Linked DNA regions of Oryctolagus cuniculus. The protein of the gene in region 1 purifies or fractionates together with the protein of each later gene. This does not show direct contact. Links are inferred from orthologs where the notes say so. Each region holds a gene or a part of one and is shown in the gene's direction. Other genes may lie near its edges. The genes, in order: KIF5B, KLC3, KLC1 and KLC4.

Evidence for each region.
Region 2: the proteins of KIF5B (region 1) and KLC3 purify together in Homo sapiens (affinity purification with mass spectrometry; 3 studies listed by BioGRID and IntAct, with this or other methods). This does not show direct contact. The link is inferred for Oryctolagus cuniculus from reciprocal best matches to the Homo sapiens genes KIF5B and KLC3.
Region 3: the proteins of KIF5B (region 1) and KLC1 purify together in Homo sapiens (co-immunoprecipitation; 11 studies listed by BioGRID and IntAct, counting the BioPlex papers as one, with this or other methods). This does not show direct contact. The link is inferred for Oryctolagus cuniculus from reciprocal best matches to the Homo sapiens genes KIF5B and KLC1.
Region 4: the proteins of KIF5B (region 1) and KLC4 purify together in Homo sapiens (affinity purification with mass spectrometry; 4 studies listed by BioGRID and IntAct, with this or other methods). This does not show direct contact. The link is inferred for Oryctolagus cuniculus from reciprocal best matches to the Homo sapiens genes KIF5B and KLC4.

Annotation. Positions count from the first base shown.
Region 1 is NC_091444.1:102,452,011-102,456,738, reverse strand, and holds part of KIF5B (kinesin-1 heavy chain), read left to right. Parts: intron 1-1,320; coding exon 1,321-1,509; intron 1,510-2,124; coding exon 2,125-2,242; intron 2,243-2,804; coding exon 2,805-2,866; intron 2,867-2,963; coding exon 2,964-3,073; intron 3,074-4,728. UniProt on the Homo sapiens protein: Microtubule-dependent motor required for normal distribution of mitochondria and lysosomes. Can induce formation of neurite-like membrane protrusions in non-neuronal cells in a ZFYVE27-dependent manner.
Region 2 is NC_091449.1:11,490,999-11,496,411, reverse strand, and holds the start of KLC3 (kinesin light chain 3), read left to right. Parts: upstream 1-1,895; 5' UTR 1,896-2,017; intron 2,018-4,347; 5' UTR 4,348-4,355; coding exon 4,356-4,613; intron 4,614-4,761; coding exon 4,762-4,992; intron 4,993-5,122; coding exon 5,123-5,192; intron 5,193-5,404; coding exon 5,405-5,413. UniProt on the Homo sapiens protein: Kinesin is a microtubule-associated force-producing protein that may play a role in organelle transport. Plays a role during spermiogenesis in the development of the sperm tail midpiece and in the normal function of spermatozoa.
Region 3 is NC_091451.1:46,444,528-46,449,255, forward strand, and holds part of KLC1 (kinesin light chain 1), read left to right. Parts: intron 1-2,699; coding exon 2,700-2,787; intron 2,788-3,337; coding exon 3,338-3,439; intron 3,440-4,728. UniProt on the Homo sapiens protein: Kinesin is a microtubule-associated force-producing protein that may play a role in organelle transport. The light chain may function in coupling of cargo to the heavy chain or in the modulation of its ATPase activity.
Region 4 is NC_091436.1:126,954,481-126,959,208, reverse strand, and holds part of KLC4 (kinesin light chain 4), read left to right. Parts: intron 1-928; coding exon 929-1,010; intron 1,011-1,895; coding exon 1,896-2,115; intron 2,116-2,560; coding exon 2,561-2,648; intron 2,649-3,712; coding exon 3,713-3,814; intron 3,815-4,014; coding exon 4,015-4,188; intron 4,189-4,524; coding exon 4,525-4,624; intron 4,625-4,728.

The DNA of each region.
Region 1 (4,728 bases):
GTCAGTCTTCTGACTTTGTTCTTCAGGATCATGTTGGCTATCGGGGATGTTTTGACTCTCCATGTAAAATCTAGAAATCGGTTTGTTGACATCCACAAAATAGTTTACTGTGATTTTCATTCACCATATTGAGGAAGCAGTGACTGAATTTTTTCCTTTTTTAAAGTTTTATTAATTTATTTAAGAGGCAGAGTTACAGAGAGAGGGAGAGACAGAGAGAGGTCTTTAATCTCCTGGTTCACTCCCCAGATGGCCGCAACGGCCGGAGCTTGGCTCATCCTAAGGTAGGAGCCAGGAGCTTCCTCTGGGTTTCCCACATGGATGCAGGGGCCCAAGGACTTGGGCCATCTTCTGCTGCCTTCCCAGGCCATTGGCAGGGAGCTGAATTGGAAGTGGAGCAGCCAGGACTGGCGCTCATTTGGGATGCCGGTGCCACAAGCAGAGGCTTAACCCACTATGCTACAGCGCTGGCTGCAGTGACTGACTTTCATATATTAACCTTGTATCCTGCAACCTTGCTATCATGGCTTATTCGTTCCAGGAGTGTTTTTGTTTTGTCTCTGTTTTTGATTTTTGTAAGCAATCATATCTGCAACAACAGTTTTATTGCCTCCTATCCAAGATGCATATAAGTTTGACATTGAGTATTGGAGTTTTTTAATGAAATCTATAAAAGTCAAGGAATGTGCAATGGCCACAGCTCTTCCTTGTTATACTCAAAAGTCATCATTTCCCTACCACCCCAAACATCCTCTTGTTAAATTTTAAACTGAGGGGCTGGCGCTGTGGTGTAGCAGGTAAAGCCACCGCCTGCAATGCCAGCATCCCATACGGGCACTGGTTCGAGACCCACCACTGGCCGTAGTGGCCATTTTGGGAGTGAACCGTGGATGGAAGGTCTCTGTCCCTGCCTCTGCCCCTCTCTAACTCTGCCTTCCAAATAAATAAATGAATCTTGAAAAATAATTTTAGACTGAACTTGCACATTGTTGACAATGAATTTATGAAGATGTCTTGTGAAAAGGAAATGTAAAACTTGACAGAGGCAGAAGTCAGTCACTTTTTTTTTATTAGGTTTCCATTTATTTTATTTCCTCATAAGCCATGTATTAACATACCAAGTTTGAAAAAGTAGAAAGGCAAAAATTAAGCTCTGCTTCTATATCCTTTATTAAAAACGATAAAAAAAAAAAAACTAGCTCCAGCCTTTTTGTGAATGTTGAATAACTGAAGGTTCTGTAATGGTTTGAGAACTAGAGTCTAACTGGGAAGACGCACTGAACTTTCTGGCTTTACTTTTTATTTTACTTTCTCTCCCAGCAGCCTGAGGGAACTGGCATGATAGACGAAGAGTTCACTGTCGCCAGGCTCTACATCAGCAAGATGAAGTCAGAAGTCAAGACGATGGTGAAACGCTGCAAACAGCTAGAAGGCACACAGACCGAGAGCAACAAAAAAATGGAAGAAAATGAAAAGGAGCTAGCAGCATGCCAGCTTCGCATCTCCCAAGTATGTGTTACAGAACAAAGTATCCTCATTTTTTTTTAACAGCCACGTGGAAGTAAATCAGTATATTTTATTTATTATAAAAGCTTTCAGAAAAATGAGTCTCTAGAGTAACAATAAAATGTTAGTTTTCCCTGTACTACTACAGTGTGATAGTGCAAATGATTTAGTCGGGTTATAGCTGTCAGTGTGTGTGTACTAAGTATGGAAATGTACTAGAAAGATGCGAATGGTATGATTTTGGAGGACTCTAGAATAATTCCAAAGTGGAGAGTACTACCAAGGAACGGTTTCTGGCATTTTTGGCCACTCAGTGAGTGGGATCATTCCCCAGATAGAATCTGTGCAAGGAGGAGGAAGACTGTGATATTAGATGGAGAAAATTCTAAAAATACTGTCTCATATTTCAGCCTTTAGTCCCTTAGTTTGCACGTGGTAGAAGCTCTACGCATGAATAGTGTATTGATAAACTCTATCATTTTAAAATTTGACCCCCTCAACATGATACCTCTGCATATGTAATATACTTAGATATTACTGTACCTCCAGATATTCTTAACAACAAAATGTGTGTGTGAGGTTTTTCTCCTGTTCATATCAGTGTATTTCTTCCAAAAGCATGAAGCCAAAATCAAGTCATTGACTGAATACCTGCAAAATGTGGAGCAGAAGAAAAGGCAGCTCGAAGAATCTGTCGACTCCCTCAGTGAAGAACTAGTTCAGCTTCGAGCACAAGGTATTAGCTCCCAGTTTATGTTCTGTGTTAATCCTTCTTGCCTTTAGGTGATTGTAGTAAACTTGTATTCACACTGATAAAGAACAGTAGGAATATGGGTAACTTGGAATAGTAAACATCATATATTTTAAGTTGCCTTTGAAACATTTTAAAAAAATTGTGTTTGAATATATAAATGGCCAGTCTAGGAGTTTCCTGTAAGATTATGAAGTTGTTATGTGTGTGTGTGTGTGTGTGTATGAGGAGACTTAAAGATCTCTTGTATATAAACCTTAAAGTAGATTTAGAAACTAACTTCTTTGCCTACCATCCCTTTAACCCTCTGTTCTGGGGTTAGGCAAAGAAAAAACAATGCTTAATATCAGCACAAATATAGTAGTCAACGCGTTATTGAGCCTGGAGTGCAAGATTTACTTTGTGATATTTGGATAACTTAATTTTGAGTGTTTCTTGAAAAACCTATTTCTCATAAGACCCATTTGTCCCTTTGGCTTACATGATTGGTTTATATGAGGACTCTTTTAAGACTTTGTTCTTCTGCTTTCTTTCCCTAACTAAACAGAGAAAGTCCATGAAATGGAAAAGGAGCACTTAAATAAGGTTCAGACTGCAAATGAAGTGAAGGCAAGTTTGTTCTTAGATTGGATTCTGATGGCTTTAATACATTGTTACTGATTTTGATTAGTCTGACTCTAACATTCTTTCCCCTCAAACACTTTAGCAAGCCGTTGAACAACAGATCCAAAGCCACAGAGAAACCCATCAAAAACAAATCAGTAGTTTGAGAGATGAAGTTGAGGCAAAAGAAAAACTTATCACTGACCTTCAAGAGTAAGTATACTTTTCTTTTCTCTCACATATTTGAAACTAACTGCAAAAAATTCAGAGGAAATAATGTTACTAGTGGTCAGTATGTCCTTACTTGAAACCTGTTTTCAAGGAAATTCTATTTTTTGACTTGGAAAATAAAGAATTTTCACACTGTAGAGTAAAATTTTTAAAAAGTTCTGAAAGATTTTCTTAGGTTGTTTGCTCTAAATGCTAAGTTAAAAAAAAAAAAAGAGAGAGAGAGAGCCTCAGCTTAAACTCATTATTGCATTCTCCCTCAAATCATTTAACTTTTTTTTTTTAGATTGATTTATTTACTTGTTTATTTGCAAGGCGGAGTTACAGAGGCAGAGAGCGAGAGAGAAAGAGGTCTTCCATCCACTGGTTCACTCCCCCAAACTGGCCACAACAACTGGAGCTAGGCCGATTGGAATCCAGGAGGCAGGAGTCTCCTCTGGTTCTCCCACATGAGTGCAAGGGCCCAAGGACCTGAGAGTTGGATAAGAAGAGGAGCATCCAGGACTCGAACTGGTGCTCATATGGGATGCCAGCATTGCAGGCGGCAATCTTACCTGCTACACCACTGGGCTGGCCCGCTTAACTTCTATTTCTTTGTTTTTTTGATTCTTAACTGATAAAATTTTTATTAGAAATTAAGGGTTTAGAGGTTGGTTTTTGTTTTTTAATAGAAGTCGTCCTCTTAGTTTACCTAGAAGACATTTCTCTACTTCGGTAATCATGTTCACCTACATGGGATGGGTGTAATGATTTGAATAGAAACCAGAAGATGGCAACAACAAAACAGAAGTTTGGGGCATAGATCTAACTAGTACTTAACGAAAGCAGTAATAAGGATTCAAGGAAATGAAAGACATGGAAAAATGAAATCATAATTTTTATTTAAAACATGAAAAATATTGGATGACCAAAAGGTCCTATCTCTTTCTGCACCTATGGAGGACAGGATAACAGAAGATATTTTGAGTGTCTGAAAAATGAGATGATAGAGTTCAAAAAATTGGGACAACGTTTAGCCTTAGCAGTTAAACACCTGCGAGTCCCATATCCGAGAACCTGGCTTCAGTGCCCACCTCTTCCTGGCTCTAGTGTCTTACTTGTGTAGACCCAGTGTGACAGAGGTGAGAGCTCAGGTGGTTGGGATGCTGCACCCGCACTGGAGACCTGAACTGAGTTCCTAGCCCCAGCCATGGTGAACATCTAGGGAGTCAACTAGCAGGTGGGAGCTCTGTCTTTCTCTGTCTCTCAAATAAATACATTTAAAAATTAAAAGTGATAGGGAGCAGCATCGTGGCAGTAGTGGGTAAAGCCACCATCTGCAATGTCACTTCCTGTCCTGCCTGCTCTGCTTCCCATCCAGCTCCCTAATAATGGCCTGGGAAAGCGTTGGAAGATGGCCCGGGTGCTTGGGCCTCTGCCACCCATGTGGGAGAACCAGATGAAACTCCTGGCCCCTGGCTTCAGCCTGGCTCAATCCTGGTTATTGTGACCACTTAGGAAAGTGAACCAGTGGATGGAAGATCCTTATGTCTCTCCCTCTCTAACACTGACTTTCAAATATATGAATAAACCATAATCTTCCCCACCCCAAAAATATTAAAAGTGATAGGTATGGACAAGACCTTTAAAAATTTTTGTAA
Region 2 (5,413 bases), on another chromosome or scaffold:
GAAAGAGATCTTCCATTTGCTGGTTCACTCCCTAAATGGCTGCATTAGCCAGGGCTGGACCAGGCCAGAGCCAGGAGCCAGGAACAGCATCCCGGTCTCCCACGCGGGTGCAGGGGCTCCGCTGCTTTCCCAGGTGCATTAGCAGGGAGCCGGATCGGAAGTGGAGCCTCCTCGTGGGATGCTGGTGTTGGATTCGGCAGCTTAACCCACTGTACAACACCAACAGCCGACTTTAAAAAAAAAATTATTTTATTTATTTGAAAGAGTTAGAGAGAGAGGTAGAAACAGAGGGAGAGAGGGCTTCCATCTGCTGGTGCACCCCCCAGATGGCTGCAACGGCCGGAGCTGCGCCGATCCGAAGCCAGGAGCTTCTTCTGGGTCTCCCACGCGGGTACAGGGGCTCAAGGACTTGGGCCATCTTCTACTGCCTTCCCAGGTGCATTAACAGGGAGCTGGATGGATGGGAAGTGGAGTGGCCGGGACTAGAACTGACGCCCGCATGGGATGCCGGCACTTCAGGCCAGGGCTTTAACCCGCTGCACCACAGCCGACTTTGTAATGGGGGAGAAGACGGAACTGATAATAAAACATTACACAGTTAGGGCCTGCGCCACGGCTCACTAGGCTAATCCTCTGCCTGCAGTGCCAGCACCCCGGGTTCTAGTCCCGGTTGCCCCTCTTCCAGGCCAGCTCTCTGCTGTGGCCCGCGAGTGTAGTGGAGGATGGCCCAAGTGCTTGGGCCCTGCACCCCATGGGAGACCAGGAGAAGCACCTGGCTCCTGTCTTCGGATCAGCGCAGTGCCGGCCGCGGCGGCCATTGGAGGGTGAACCAACGGCAAAGGAAGACCTTTCTCTCTCTCTCTCTCTCTCTCTCACTAACTCTGTCAAAAAAAAAAAAAAAAAAAAAAAAAAAAACCAAAAAACTGGAATCAAACTTGAACCCAGGGGCTGGTGCTGTGGCATAGCAGGTTAAATCTCTACCTGCAGTGCCAGCATCCCACATGGGCGCCAGTTCAAGTCCGGCTGCTCCACTTCCAATCCAGCTCCCTGCTAATGCACCTGGGAAAGCAACAGAAGATGGCACAAGTGCTTGGGTCCCTGAGGCCACACAAGGAACCCAGAAGACGCTCCTGGCTCCTGGCTCTGGCCTGGCCCAGCCCTGGCTGTTGCAGCCTTTTGAGGAATGAACCAACAGCTGAAAAAAATCTCTCATTCTATCTCTCCTCTTTCTCTGCAGCTCTGCCTTTCAACTAAATAAATCTTTAAGATTACTGTAACAGGGACCAGCACTGTGGCATAGCGGCATCCCATATGGGCGCTGGTTCAAGTCCCGGCTGCCCCACTTCTGATCCAGCTCCCTGCTAATGCACATGGGAAAACAGCAGGAGATGGCCCAAGTGTTTGGGCCCCTGCACCCACGTGGGAGACCTGAAGAAGCTCCTGGCTCCTGGCTTCAGCCTGGCCCAGCCCTGGCCGTCGAGGCCATTTGGGGTGGAAATCTCCCGTCTCTCTCTCTGCCTCTCTGTAACTCCACCTTTTAATTAAAATATATAAATCATTTTAAAAGTATTGTAACAATAAAATAAAATGATGTGCTATATAAAATAATTTGAGGCTCTGAAAATATTTGTGAACAATATCAGGATGGGTGTGGGGTGGGGGTCGCGAGGGATGCCGCTAAGAAGGGGCCAGCAGGAAGGCTTCTTGGAGGAGGCGAAGTCTGCAGCCGGAGCGCAGGTTTCCCGGACGGCAAGCGTGGCCGCGGCCCTGGTTCCCGGAGGCTGCGCGCGCGAGTCCTGCGGGGCCTGAGCCGCGCGCCGACCCTCCCCTCCGGGGGCGGGGCCGGCCGCACCTGCGGGGGGCGGGGCTCCGGCCGCACCTGCGGGGGCGGGACTCCGGCCGCCCCGCCTTCCGGCGGAGCCGCCCGCGGCCCGAGACGCGGTCACAGCCGGGAGCGGCGGGGCGTGCGGAGCCTGCGGGACGCCGTCGAGCGGGGCGCGGAGCCGTCGGCTGTCCGGTGGGCGCGGGAGTCGCGGGAAGCCGCCCTGATGGGGCGCGGGGCCAAGGGGAGGGCTGGGATTGGCGCGCCCCTGGGCCCATTCGCCTGGCCACGGGGACGGGACGCGGGGCCCCTGGGAACTCCCTGCCCCGTCCCGGGGCTCCCTGGGGTCCGCAGGCCGGGCTGGGGCCGCGCCCGGTCCCCCAGGCGCAGGTAAACAGGAGCGGGGCGGGGCGGGGCCTAGGGGCGGGAGGGGCCCTCGTGACAGCGGGCGGCGGGGCAGCGTGCCTGGAGCTGGGCCGGGGTCGCGGCCTGCTGCCCGCCCGCGGTGGGTGCGACACGGTGCGTGACAGCGCGGGGGACAGCGGGAGGCCGGGCTGCGGGACGATGCGGGCGTCCGCACGGTGCGGTGAGCACGGGCGCGTCCCCTGCCGAGTGCGTGCAAGACTCGCCAGGTTAGGACATTGTGTTCTCCCACTCCCTTCTCGAAGTTTCCTCGCCGGCGTGGGGCTGTGCGTGTGCGCAGAACCCCGGGCGTCCCCCGTCTGTACGGAGCTGGGTGCAGACACGCGGGTCTCCCCGCTCGCATGACCACAGCTGTCCACACCACGGGCGCCCGCGGCTGCCAGTGGCGCTCCTCCCCGGTCAGGGACCATTGGCGCACGCGTGTTTGCAGCTGTGAGTGTGTGTGGCACAGAAGGCCGGGGGGGGGGCCCTCCTGGCCAGGGGTGGGGACGAGTTGGGGGGGGCGCCCACGGGGAACCGTGAGAGTGCATTTGGCAGGGTGAGTGTGGGAGGGGCCGGCCTGGAGGGGCTCTGATTCTGCAAGTGAGGAGGGTGGGGGAGATGAGAGTCATTTCAGAGGCCACACCTGCGTGTGGGCGTGTCTCCCAAGGGTGCGTGTGTTGCTGAGCGGAGCGCTCCCACGTGTGCACGCACATACACCTGATCTCTTCAGGGATGTGGGTGTGCGTCAGCGCCGACCTGTATGTATAACGAAAAAAAGTTTACGAATTTTTGTTTATCTGAAAGGCAGGGAGACTGACCATCCGGGAGAGGTGGCCCATCCACGCTGGTTCACCCTGCCAAACGGCCACAGTGGGCAGGCTGAAGCCGGGCACCTGGAAGTCCACTAGGGTCTCCTCCCTCGCGGGGGCAGGGGTCTAAGCACGCAGCCGGCCTCCGCTGCTTTCCCCCAGGCCATCAGCAGGGAGCTGGATGGGAGGTGGAGCAGCCGAGACAGGAACCGGCTCCCACATGGGACGCCGGCGTCTCAGACAGCTGTATAAGACGCTGTCTGTCGCATTGTGTGTGACGGAAGGAGAGCAGCGACTGTGTGTGGTGTGTTGTACAGGTCTGTAAGGGCAGGTGTGTGGGGCCGGTAAAGCCACCGCCTGCAGAGCCAGCTTCCCATATGGGCGCTGGTTCAAGTCCCTGATGCGCCACTTCCACTCTGGCTCTCTGCGAATGGACCTGGGAATAGCAGTGGAAGATGGCCCAAGTCCCTGGGCCCTTGCACCCGCGTGGGAGACCCGGAAGAGGCTCCTGGCTTTGTATCGGCCCAGCTCTAGCCATTGTGGCCATCTGGGGAGTGCACCAGCAGATAGAAGATCTCTGTCTCTCCCTCTCTCTGTAACTCTGCCTTTCAAATAAATAAATACGTCTTTAAAAAAAAAAAAAAAAAAGAGGCAGGTGAGTGTGTGACACTAGGAAGACCCCCGAGGCATCGCCAGCTGTCTCTGAGGCCTTGTCCCTCACATCACAACCCCAGGGAGTCCCGTGTGTGGGACCTCCACCCATTACCCCCGGCCGTGATGGCCAGTGACACCCATGGGCCGCACCTGTGTGTCTCAACAGGCCCTGGCTGAGCCTGTCTGTGGCACAGGGTGGAGTCCCTGTTCCCTCGGGGTCTGTCAAGGCCAATGCATTGTCCCCCTGGAAGTCTTTTCAACCCAGAGGCCTCCTCTGCTTCCGGCGCCCCAGCCTCCAGCCTTCTCCTCCCACCCCGCCCCAGCCCAGCCCAGCCCCAGTGGTCCGACTGGTTCCCAACAAAAACACCCTAAGAATGAGCTCACAGCGGCTGGGCAGCCGCCTCCACACGCCCCACCCACTTGCCCCGCAGCAGGGGGCCGCTGCACCCCGGGCAGCCAGATCCTGGCCAGGCACGGACCCCGGAGCGGGCCGGCTATGTGCCCAGCTTGGCTAACCGGGGGCTGTCCCGTAGGTGTAAGAGCAGGATGGGCAGGGCATGGCGGCGTGGCTGGGATGGATCAATGGCAGGGATCCTGCTGGCCCGGGAGACCGGGTGCCAGGGGCCTTGACATGAGCCCCCCACCCCCCTGCCCCAGGAGCAGCCATGTCCGTGCAGGTGGCAGCGCCCGGAAGTGCAGGGCTGAGCCCAGAGCGCCTGAGCCCTGAGGAGCTGATGCGACAGACGCGGCAGGTGGTGCAGGGGCTGGAGGCCCTGCGGGCCGAGCACCGCGGCCTGGCTGGGCGCCTGGCCGAAGCCCTGGCGGGCCCGGGGCCTGTGGCCGGCTCGGAGCTGCTCGAAGAAAAGCAGCAGGTGGTGAACCACTCGCTGGAGGCCCTGGAGCTGGGGCTGGGCGAGGCGCAGGTACCAGGGGCACTCGCGCCAGGGGGAGGGGTGGGCCCCTGAGTGAGGGTCCTGGGGAGCCTCTGGGGTCACCTGAGCCGCGCGGCAGAGTCTGGGGGCCCGGGGCAGGGCGGGTGGGATCCAGCCCCACGGCCCCCACCCCTCGCAGATGCTGCTGGCCCTGTCGGCGCACGTGGGCGCACTGGAGGCAGAGAGGCAGCGGCTGCGGGCGCAGGCCCGGCGCCTGGCCCAGGAGAACGCGTGGCTGCGGGAGGAGCTGGAGGAGACGCAGCGGCGGCTGCGGGCCAGCGAGGAGGCCGTGGCCCAGCTGGAGGAGGAAAAGGGCCACCTGGAGTTCCTGGGCCAGCTGCGGCAGTACGAGTCGCCGGCAGGGAGCCAGGTGCACACCCGCCTCAGACTCCACAGAGCCCCCGGGGGGCCCCGCAGGCTCCAGGGCAGCGCCCCCCAGACCTTGAGGCAGACTCGGTGCCCCCCCCCACATACACCTCCTTTTCCCGTCCTGCCCACAGCGGCCGGAGTCCCCCCCTCGCCGAGACAGCCTGGCCTCCCTGTTCCCCAGCGAGGAGGAGGAGCAGAGAGGTGGGTGTGGGCCCCAGGCATGTGGGGGGGGCATGGGGGGGCTAGGGCAGACACAGCAGGTGGCCGCTACCAGCAGGGTGATGGCAGGCAGGTGAGGCCGGGGCTGGGGAGCCAGGTGGGCTCTGCACCCCCGTCCCCAGGCCGGGACACCTCCCACGGGTCGGTCGGAGGCTGTTCTGGGGCCCGGGTGACACGGTGCCTGCCTCCCCCAGGCTCCGAGG
Region 3 (4,728 bases), on another chromosome or scaffold:
GTCCTCCATGAGTTTCCTGAGGCCTTGCTTATTTCTCAGTTAGGACTTTCTTTTTCTTTTTTAAAAAAGATGTATTTATCTGAAAGGCAGAGTGACAGAAAGCAGCCATGACAGCCAGAGCTGAGCCAGACTGCAGCCAGGAGCCAGAAACACGGATTCTGTCTGGGCCTCCCACACAGGAGGCAGGGGACCACGCGCAGGGGCCGTCCTCGGCTGCCTTCCCAGGCTACTTAGCAGGGAGCTGGACTGGAAGTGGAGCAGCCGGGCCTCAGACCAGTGCCCCGTATCACAAAAATGGCCCAGGGTTTATTGTTCACAGGGTCCACTTTGCTTTCATTTGGAATTTTGAGTTTCTTGGTGGGCTTGTGCTGGGCTTTATTTCTGAGATCCTGATTGGGCAGATCTGTAGAGGTCCAGGTGTCCAGCAAGTTCCAGGTGAGGTGGTGCAGCTGTCTGGGGCCGCACCTGAGAGGCAGGGCTGTGACCTGGTCGTTGGCGGGTTAATAGTCCCAAGAGTGTTAGAGCATGTCCCAAGTGTGTTAGAGCGTGTCCCAAGGATGTTAGTGCATGTCAGTTTCAGCAGTACTTACTGTAACTCGTCTTAGTTCTCAACACACTTTTAGGTAACTTTCTTTTTTTTAATGGTGTTACTAGTTTTTTTTTTTTTTCCTCACTTATTTGACAGGCAGAGTTAGAGAGAGAGAGAGAGAGAGAGACAGAGAGACAGAGAGAAGGGTCTTCCTTCCATTGGTTCACCCCCCAAATGGCTGCTACAGCCGGCGCTGCGCCGATCCGAAGCCAGGAGCCAGGTGTTTCTTCTTCCTGGTCTCCCATGCGGGTGCAGGGCCCAATCACCTGGGCCATCCTCCACTGCCTTCCCAGGCCACAGCAGAGAGCTGGACTACAAGAGGAGCAGCCGGGACTAGAACTCGGCACCCATATGGGATGCCAGCGCCACAGGTGGAGGATTAACCTAGTGAGCCATGGTGCCAGCCCCAGTGTTACTAGTTTTTTAAAACTTTGTTTCCTATTGCTTAGTTTCACAGAATGCTCAGAACAGCTTATGATGTATACCAGAGTGGTTGGAGAAGAGAACAGTACACGAGGCCCTGCGCTGTGCACTGTGGTAACCCCGCCCTGCGACCCAGCATCCCATGTTGGAGCGCCAGTTCGAGTCCCGGCTGCTCCACCTCTGATCCAGCTCACGCTGATGCTCCTGGGAAGGCAGCGGCCCCGCCACCCACATGGGAGACCTGAATGGAGTCCCAGGCTCCTGGATTCACCCTGGCCCAGCCCTGATCATTGTGGTCTCTTGGGGAGTGGACCAATGGATGGAAGATCTTTGTCTCTAATGAGTTAACTAAGCAAGAACAACAGCTATAACATACAAGCACTTGGGTAGAATTTGTGGGATTCAGAGGTTCTGCAAACCTTGTTAATCCTGCTGTGCAGGGCAGAGCCTTGCTGGGCAGCTGTTAGCTTTCAGTTGGGAATGTGTGTGGTAGGTCTCTGGAGCCAGTTTTGCAGCACGGCGGTGGTCGATGGCACACTTAACCCAGGATGCACTGGGGCTGCTGGTTTTTTTTTTTTTTTAAAGATTTATTTTTTACTTGAAAGTCAGAGTTACACAGAGAGAGGAGAGGCAGAGAGACAGAGAGAGGTCTTCCGTCCAGTGGTTCACTCCCCAATGTGCCACAATGGCTGGAAATGTGCCGATCCAAAGCCAGGAGCCAAGAGCTTCCTCCAGGTCTCCCACATGGGTGCAGGGGCCCAAGCACCTGGGCCATCTTCCACTGCTTTCTCAGGCCACAGCAGAGAGCTGGATGGGAAGTGGAGCAGCCGGGACCAGAACCGGCGCCCATATGGGATGCTGGCGCTTCAGGCCAGGGCGTTAACCCGCTGTGCCACAGCGCCGCCCCCTGTCTTTTTCTCTGTCTCTGTCTCTCTCTCTGAAGACTTATTTATTTGAGAGGCAGAGTTACAGAGAGAGAATGAGAGTGAGAGAGAGAGAGAGAGAGAGCTCTTCCATCTGCTGGTTCACTCTCCAAATGGCCACAACAGCCAGAACTGGGCTGATCTGAAGCCAGGAGCCAGGAGCTTCTTCTAGGTCTCCCATGTGGGTGCAAGGGTCCAAGGACTTGGGCCATCTTCCACTGCTTTCCCAGGCCATAGCAGAGAGCTGGATTGGAAGTGGAGCAGCCAGGGCACAAACCGGCACCCATATGGGAGGCCAGCCCTATAGGCAGCCCCCCTACTTAATTCTTACTTCACAGTGGTAAGGTAGCATAGTCAGAGTACACGTGGGAGGGCAGGGACCTGGGGAGGTTGGGCAGTGTGGAGGCCACGTGGTCGTTACCTGGGAGCCTGAGCTGAGTGCGGTCAGTCCTGTCTGATATCCACCTGCCCTCTGCTGCCGTGCCTGCCCCGTGTCGGCAGCCCCAGGACAGCCCTGCGTGGCCAGTGGTGCCCAGTGGTCCGGGTTGGGGGACCCAGGCGAGAAGTTTATGAGATCTGATTTTGTAGCTCACCTGGCTGCCAGTGCATTTAGTGATGGGTTTCCTTGCAGTCTTCCCTCCCATACATAAGAGTTTTTTTGTTTTAGTTTTAGTTTTTTGGTAACTGAAGCTTAACTTTTATGTTCATAGTTCTAAAATGATTTTTCAATGATGCAGCAGCACTCTGTGTGTTTTTCCATTTAGAGATCAGAATAAGTACAAGGATGCAGCGAATCTGCTCAACGACGCCTTGGCCATCCGTGAGAAGACCCTGGGCAGAGATCACCCTGCGGTTTGTATGCCTGGTTCTTCCCTTCTCCATGCATTTGATTTTCCCCAAGGACTTGTTTTATCCAACTCATTTTAATATTAAACTCAACAGGGAAGGCTTAGGAGCCGCCTGTCCTAGCGGTGCAGGTAGGAGGCGTCTCCCAGGGCTGGCCAGCGGCTCTGCTCTGGCATTTGCCCATGCACACGCAATCCCTTTAGAGCCACCACTCAGTGGACCACCCGCTCTGTGTTCTGATCATAAATCAAATTGCATGTACCTCTATAAATTTGTTCCTCAAGCATTTATATTTTTATTGAAATCTGTTGAGATTTGCATACAGATCTATTTTGGTTGGCTTTGTGGCTTCCAGGGGAATTAAAAAAATCATGTTGTTGACGTTGATTTGTTTACTGTCAGTGTGTGTTCCGCCGTGTTACTTGGTGTCATCTGTTCTGTGAGTTGCTGTCTTGTAACGGAAGTCCTCCTCCTCTCTGAGTACAAGTGAGTCTGTGATGTGTGAGTGCCCTCGTCCGGGTCTGTTGCTGTTCTTAGTGGCTTTCTGTACTGGCAGGTGGCGGCGACCCTGAACAACCTGGCTGTCCTTTACGGAAAGAGAGGGAAGTACAAAGAAGCCGAGCCTCTGTGTAAGAGAGCCCTGGAGATCAGAGAGAAGGTAGGCAGGAGAGCAGGATGCAGCATTCTGTGTTTAAAAGACATTTCAGAAAGTCTTATTTTTTTTTATAAATATTTATTTATTTATTTATTTATTTGAGAAGCTGAGTTACAGTGAGAGGGAGAGACAGAGAGAGAAGTCTTCCATCCGCTGGTTCACTCCCCAGATGGCTGCAACAGCCGGAGCTGAGCCAGTCTGAAGCCAGGAGCCTGGAGCTCCCACGTGGGTGCAGGAGCCAAGGACTCGGGCCATCCTCCACTGCTTTCCCAGGCCACAGCAGAGAGCTGGATGGGAAGTGAACAGCCAGGACTCGAACCAGCACCCATATGGGATGCTGGCACTGCGGGTGGAGCTCAGCCTACTGTACCACAGCACTGGCCCCCAGGCTGAAGTCTTATTTATTTATTTGAAAGTCAGAGTTACAGAAAAGCAGAGGCAGAGAGAGAGAGAGAGAGAGAGAGAGATCCTCTATCTGCTGGTTCACTCTCCAAATGGCTGCAATGACTGGAGCTGCACTGATCGGGAACCAGGAGCCTCCTCTGGGTCTCTTCTGCTGCTTTCCCAGGCCATAGCAGAGAGCCAGATGGGAAGCAGAGCAGCTGGGACTCTAACCGGTGGCGGCCAGCCAGCACTGTAGGCAGCGGCTTTACCCACTACACCACAGCGCTGGCACCAGGCTTAAGTCCTGAGAAGTGACTATTGTGTTTTGTCATTACTGAGTGTTTCCTGAAAATAGCTTGTTTAATAGGATAGAAAGCTGGGAAACAGGTGGATCAGACTCACCTGAGAGGGGTGTGTGCTAGAAAGGGCAGCCCTGCCGGCCGCGAGCAGGGGTCCTGACATCGCAGGTGTCACGGGGTCTGCTTGTCGGGAAGTTGTTCAGTTAGATGCAAATCCCCCAAGTGTGTTTATGGGGATAGAGACTGAAACCGTTATTCTCAGAACTGAAGATGAGCTAGAGTGTGGGTGAAGTCAGCATCGTGGCTATCCAGTTCTCTGCTACCTTTGGTGGTCGCCAGGAGTCAGAGCGGCGAGTGCTTGTGCCGGCAGCTCTGTGGCTGTGCGGGACGTTAGCAAAGTCGGCCGTCAGCTGCACAGCGAGTAACCACAGGCAGATTAGCTGGGCATTGTCTGCAGTTACTTATCAGTGACACTGAGAGATTGGCCACTTAGTTTTGGGCCATAATGGCAAAGAATAGGCAGAGGAAAAATGAGAAGAAGCTCATTATAAAATTGTACAGGTGATTTTCTTTTAATAATTTATTTTATTTATTTGAAAGAGTTACAGA
Region 4 (4,728 bases), on another chromosome or scaffold:
ATGTGTGTAGGGAGCTATAAAGACCCGTAGAAGAGACACTCTGCCTTCTTGAGTTTATAATGTGTCTGTAGGGGACAGGGCTCACGCTTGAGAACGCAGGTGTGACAACACATGGCAGCAGATGTTCCGTGCTGGGTGAGTATGGCTCAGTAAGTGCAAGAGGAATTCATAGGAGGTAGGCCCCTGAGGCCGGAATGATTAAAGGATTCCCAGAGGGGGCCGGGGACAGAGATGGGTATGCTTTAGGTTGAATTTCTCATTTGACAAGGGTTTGGGATGATTCTTGAAGGATGACAAGGAAGAGAGACAGGGGAGTCAAGCTAAGGCTCCAGGGCTGCACTACTGGTCTACCCCTGAGAGAGTCAGGAGACGCTTTGCATGGGACACACTGGTACAGGGGGCAGAGGGCAGGGGGCAGGGGAAAGGGCTGGAGGTCGCTGCTTAAAGCTGCCGTTCCTGATGGGAAAAGCAGATTCTCCCAGTGTGGAAGTAGGTTGGACAGTGAGGGGTGCTCACTATGTCCGAAGCAGGCAGTGGCAGATGATGGGTGTGAGGCTGAGCGAGACACCTTGGGCATGTGTCAGTAAGGTCAGAGACACTGTCCGGCCTCAGGAGAGACAGAACAGACATATAATCAGAGTAAACACCAGGCATCAGCACAGGGCTATAATTACAAGAGTGGAGCAGGAGAGAGGGAGGCTGGGGAGTGGAGGTAGTAAGGAAGGGAACTTTCTGGATGTGAAGGAAGGGGAAGTCGTGGGAATTTGTGCCAAGCATCTCTGGCTTTTGCCAACAAAAGAGGCCTGAGTGTGGCTGGGCCGGATGCTGGCCTTCCCAGGGCAGAGGCCCCTCTCAGTGACTTTGTGGCTTAGAGGGGCCCTCACACCGGCGCTATCTTGGCCCTCACATGCTACTGCTTCCCTTCCAGGAGGAAAAACAAGGGGATGCCACCAAGGATTCTCTGGATGACCTCTTCCCCAACGAAGAGGAGGAGGACCCTAGCAACGGCTGTGAGTCTGCCTCAGAGCTGGAGGGGAACGAGGGGCAGCAAGAGGCTGCTCTGGGCCCAGCCCTGTGCTCAGGATGTCACCATCCAGAAACAGGTTCTCCCCTCTCTCTGGAGAGGGGGCAGGGCTGGGCTAGTCCTTTAATTTTCTCAGCCTCCTCCTTATCATCAATGTTTATTAAGCGATATGTGCCGAGCACTAGGAATAGCAAGATGAAAATAACACAGGTCTCACTGGTGATGTGTTCACGGTCTATGGGGGAATGAACCTGAGATGGGAAGAGCATGAGTTCTTCAGGGGAAGGAACCAGCTCTTTCTTATCTTTGTGTTCCTGGGATAGCCCCTGGCTCAGGCTTATTATTTTTTTTAAGATTTTTTTATTTATTTGAAAGGCTATGAGAGAGAGAGGTAGGGAGGGAGGGAGAGAGAGAGGGGAATTTTCCATCTGCTAGTTCACTCCCCAAATGACTGCAACTGTCAAGGCTAGGCCAGGTCAAAGCCAAGAGCCTGGACATCTATCTGGATCTCCCAAGTATTTGGGCTATATTCTGCCACTTTCTCAGGAGCTGGATCAGAAGTGGAGCAGCTGGGACTCAAATTGGCACTCATGTGGGATGCCAGGGTCATAAGTGGTGGCTTAACCCTTTATGTCACAACACTGGCCCCGCTCAGTCTTATTGAGTGAATGCATCACTGGGAACAAATAGAACTGTAGTGGGCACAGGTTCCAGGGAGCAGGTAACAGAATAGCAGTGGAGGCTCTGGTGTCAGTAGAGAGAGTCTGGTAGGGGCAGGTGCAGGTATGGAACAAGACATAGAGGGGAGGTCTGGGGTGGGAGAGGAAGAGTCCTCCAGGAAATCTGCTGTTCGTTTTCCGGGCTGGCTCAGTGTCGCGTGGCCAAGGCGCTGCAGCCGCCCAGCAGGGTGGATATGAGATCCCAGCAAGGTTGCGGACGCTACACAACCTGGTGATTCAGTACGCAGCCCAGGGTCGCTATGAGGTGGCTGTGCCGCTCTGCAAGCAGGCGCTGGAGGACCTGGAGCGCACATCTGGCCGTGGCCACCCTGATGTCGCCACCATGCTCAACATCCTCGCCTTGGTGTATCGGTGAGCACCGCCCCCCCGCCCCCCAGACTCCTCTCCCTCTTTGGCACCCATGCCTCCTCTCCACTGGGTGCCTCTTCTCCCTGCTGGGCTTCCAGGATATTCCCCACTGGGTACCATGCCAAGTCCTTGACCTCAGACGATACTCATCTCGCAGGCTGTTTGCTGCTCTGGTCTCTCCTGGAGGGAGCCTCCACACACACACACACATACACACACACCACACACACCCTAGCTTCCTGTGGCCTCCTCGGAGGACAACAGTGCTCTGCATCCTGGTCTGGATGTATCAGTGGAGCCCTCTCACCATCCACACCAGGCCTCTTGTCCCCATGGGTGTCCCCGATCTCTAAATATACCTCAGTCCTCCCCAGGGGAGGGAGAGTGGGAAGGAGATGACTTGGGAGCAGAGGTCAGGGTAACCGTTGTCACCTTTGGCCTCTTCCAGGGACCAGAATAAGTATAAGGAAGCTGCCCACCTGCTGAACGATGCCCTCAGCATCCGGGAGAGCACTCTGGGCCGGGACCATCCTGCTGTCAGTGCTCCTTGCCCTCTGCCCTCTGCCCTCTGCCCTCTGCCGTTGTTCTCTTAGCTTGTCCGCACGCTGCCCTTGGTTCCCTCACTCGGATGCTCAGGAAGGAGGCACAGGACCTCCTTTCTGCCAGCACCATCCGGTATCTCCGTGGCTCTCAATTCTCTGCAGTTCAGTTACTTGCTTTTTATAATTAATATTCTGAAATTTAATTCATAGACAATGTATCCTACTTACAAGAAAGTTAATATGACACACTAGTTAATATGAAAGAGAAGCAAGGGAAGTAATTTATGAGAACAATAAATTTAACGTAGTATGCTAAGATAAAAATACAACACAAGAATAACTGTGTTGAGTACAACAGTGCTAGAAGACATAATAAAGTAGTGTGATATATGAGGAATAACTCTGGATTTAGAAGTAGACCAGTAGGTGCTTCTGTGTAAGAAGTAAGAGAAAAATGAGACAGAAGTGTGAGTACATACCTGATTAGAAGGCAGTGTTATAATAAGTAATCACAGGCCAGACTGATTTGAATATGAGAAGAAAACAGAGATATAGCCTCATAAGTAGGGCCAGTAGGCCAAAACAAATGATAGATTGTTAAAGTGGAAAAAATGGGAAATAAGCTCCTTTTTTAAGGTATGTGACAGCAGGGATGATGGGTCTCAGAATACACGACTCCCATCTTGATATCCCACCAAAAGTCAAAGTCAAAGCTTGCTGTCTATGTTTGAGTGCCAGGCAGGACGTTCAGAAGTTGGCATAGTCGCCCTGCACATGCAGAACATCTGTTGTGTTCTCACCTCCTCAGGGGTAATAGTACCCTCAGTCTTCATGGCAACCCCAAAACAACACTCCAGAAATTTCTAGAAGTCCCCCTAGAGGGCGGTACAACACCCTCAGAGCCCCGGAGCCTTCCTCCCCTCAGCTTCTGAGTGTGTCAGTGAGAGTCCACCTCTCTTGGTGTTGTGCCACGTGGGGCCCTGCTGTGCGGCGGTGGGGAGGGGACCTCAGGTTCTCCTGGGTCCTGCACGTCTGATGGGCCAGGTCTGTCTTCATAGGTGGCTGCCACACTCAACAATCTGGCTGTGCTCTACGGCAAAAGGGGCAAATACAAGGAGGCAGAACCGCTGTGCCAGCGAGCACTGGAGATCCGAGAGAAGGTACCCGAGCCTCTCTCCATTCGTCCCCATCCATCACTGTGACCCTTCCCCCATGTCAGTCTACCCTTGTCCTTCACTTCTTCCCCTTACCCCCACCCCCACGCCCAGCCCTGTTTCCTCTCCCTCATTCCCTTCCCTCTGCTCCCTGTGTGTGTGAACCATCATTATGGCCTTTTGTCTGCCCCTTTGCTCCCCTCCAGGTCCTTGGCACTGACCACCCAGATGTAGCAAAGCAGCTAAACAACCTGGCCCTTCTGTGCCAGAACCAGGGCAAGTATGAGGCCGTAGAGCGCTATTACCTGCGAGCACTGGCCATCTATGAGGGGCAGCTGGGGCCGGACAACCCGAATGTAGCCCGCACCAAGAACAACCTGGTAAGGGATGAAAGGACACGGGGTGGAAGGAGGGGGCGGGGGAGGCCACCTGGCTCCTGGAATTGGCCAGAAGCACTGGAATTGGCATGCCACTCTCATCCACCGTGTGCCCGTCTCTGGGGCTGCCTTTGGGACTGAAGGAGCTGCTTCAAGCCAGCGGCAGAAGTGCCAGAGCCTCTTGGGAGTGGAGTGGGGATACCTTTGACCCTGCTGCTAGAATAGGAGGCCTTCTGGGGAAAGTCAGAGAGACAGCAAGAAGTGGACGCCCCTGAGCCCGGCAAAGACCTTGTCTCCCTCCATCTCTTGCTCCTGTGCTTTGGCCTTCCTGCCTCCCAGGCTTCCTGTTACCTGAAGCAGGGCAAGTATGCTGAGGCCGAGACGCTGTACAAAGAGATCCTGACCCGAGCCCACGTGCAAGAGTTTGGGTCTGTGGATGGTGAGTGGTGTGGGCCTGGGGAGGGGGCTGCAGGGAAGAAAAGAAATGCCCATGGAAGGTGGGGGGTTAAGATCACGGTGGTTCCGGGGTTGGGGGAGGAGACC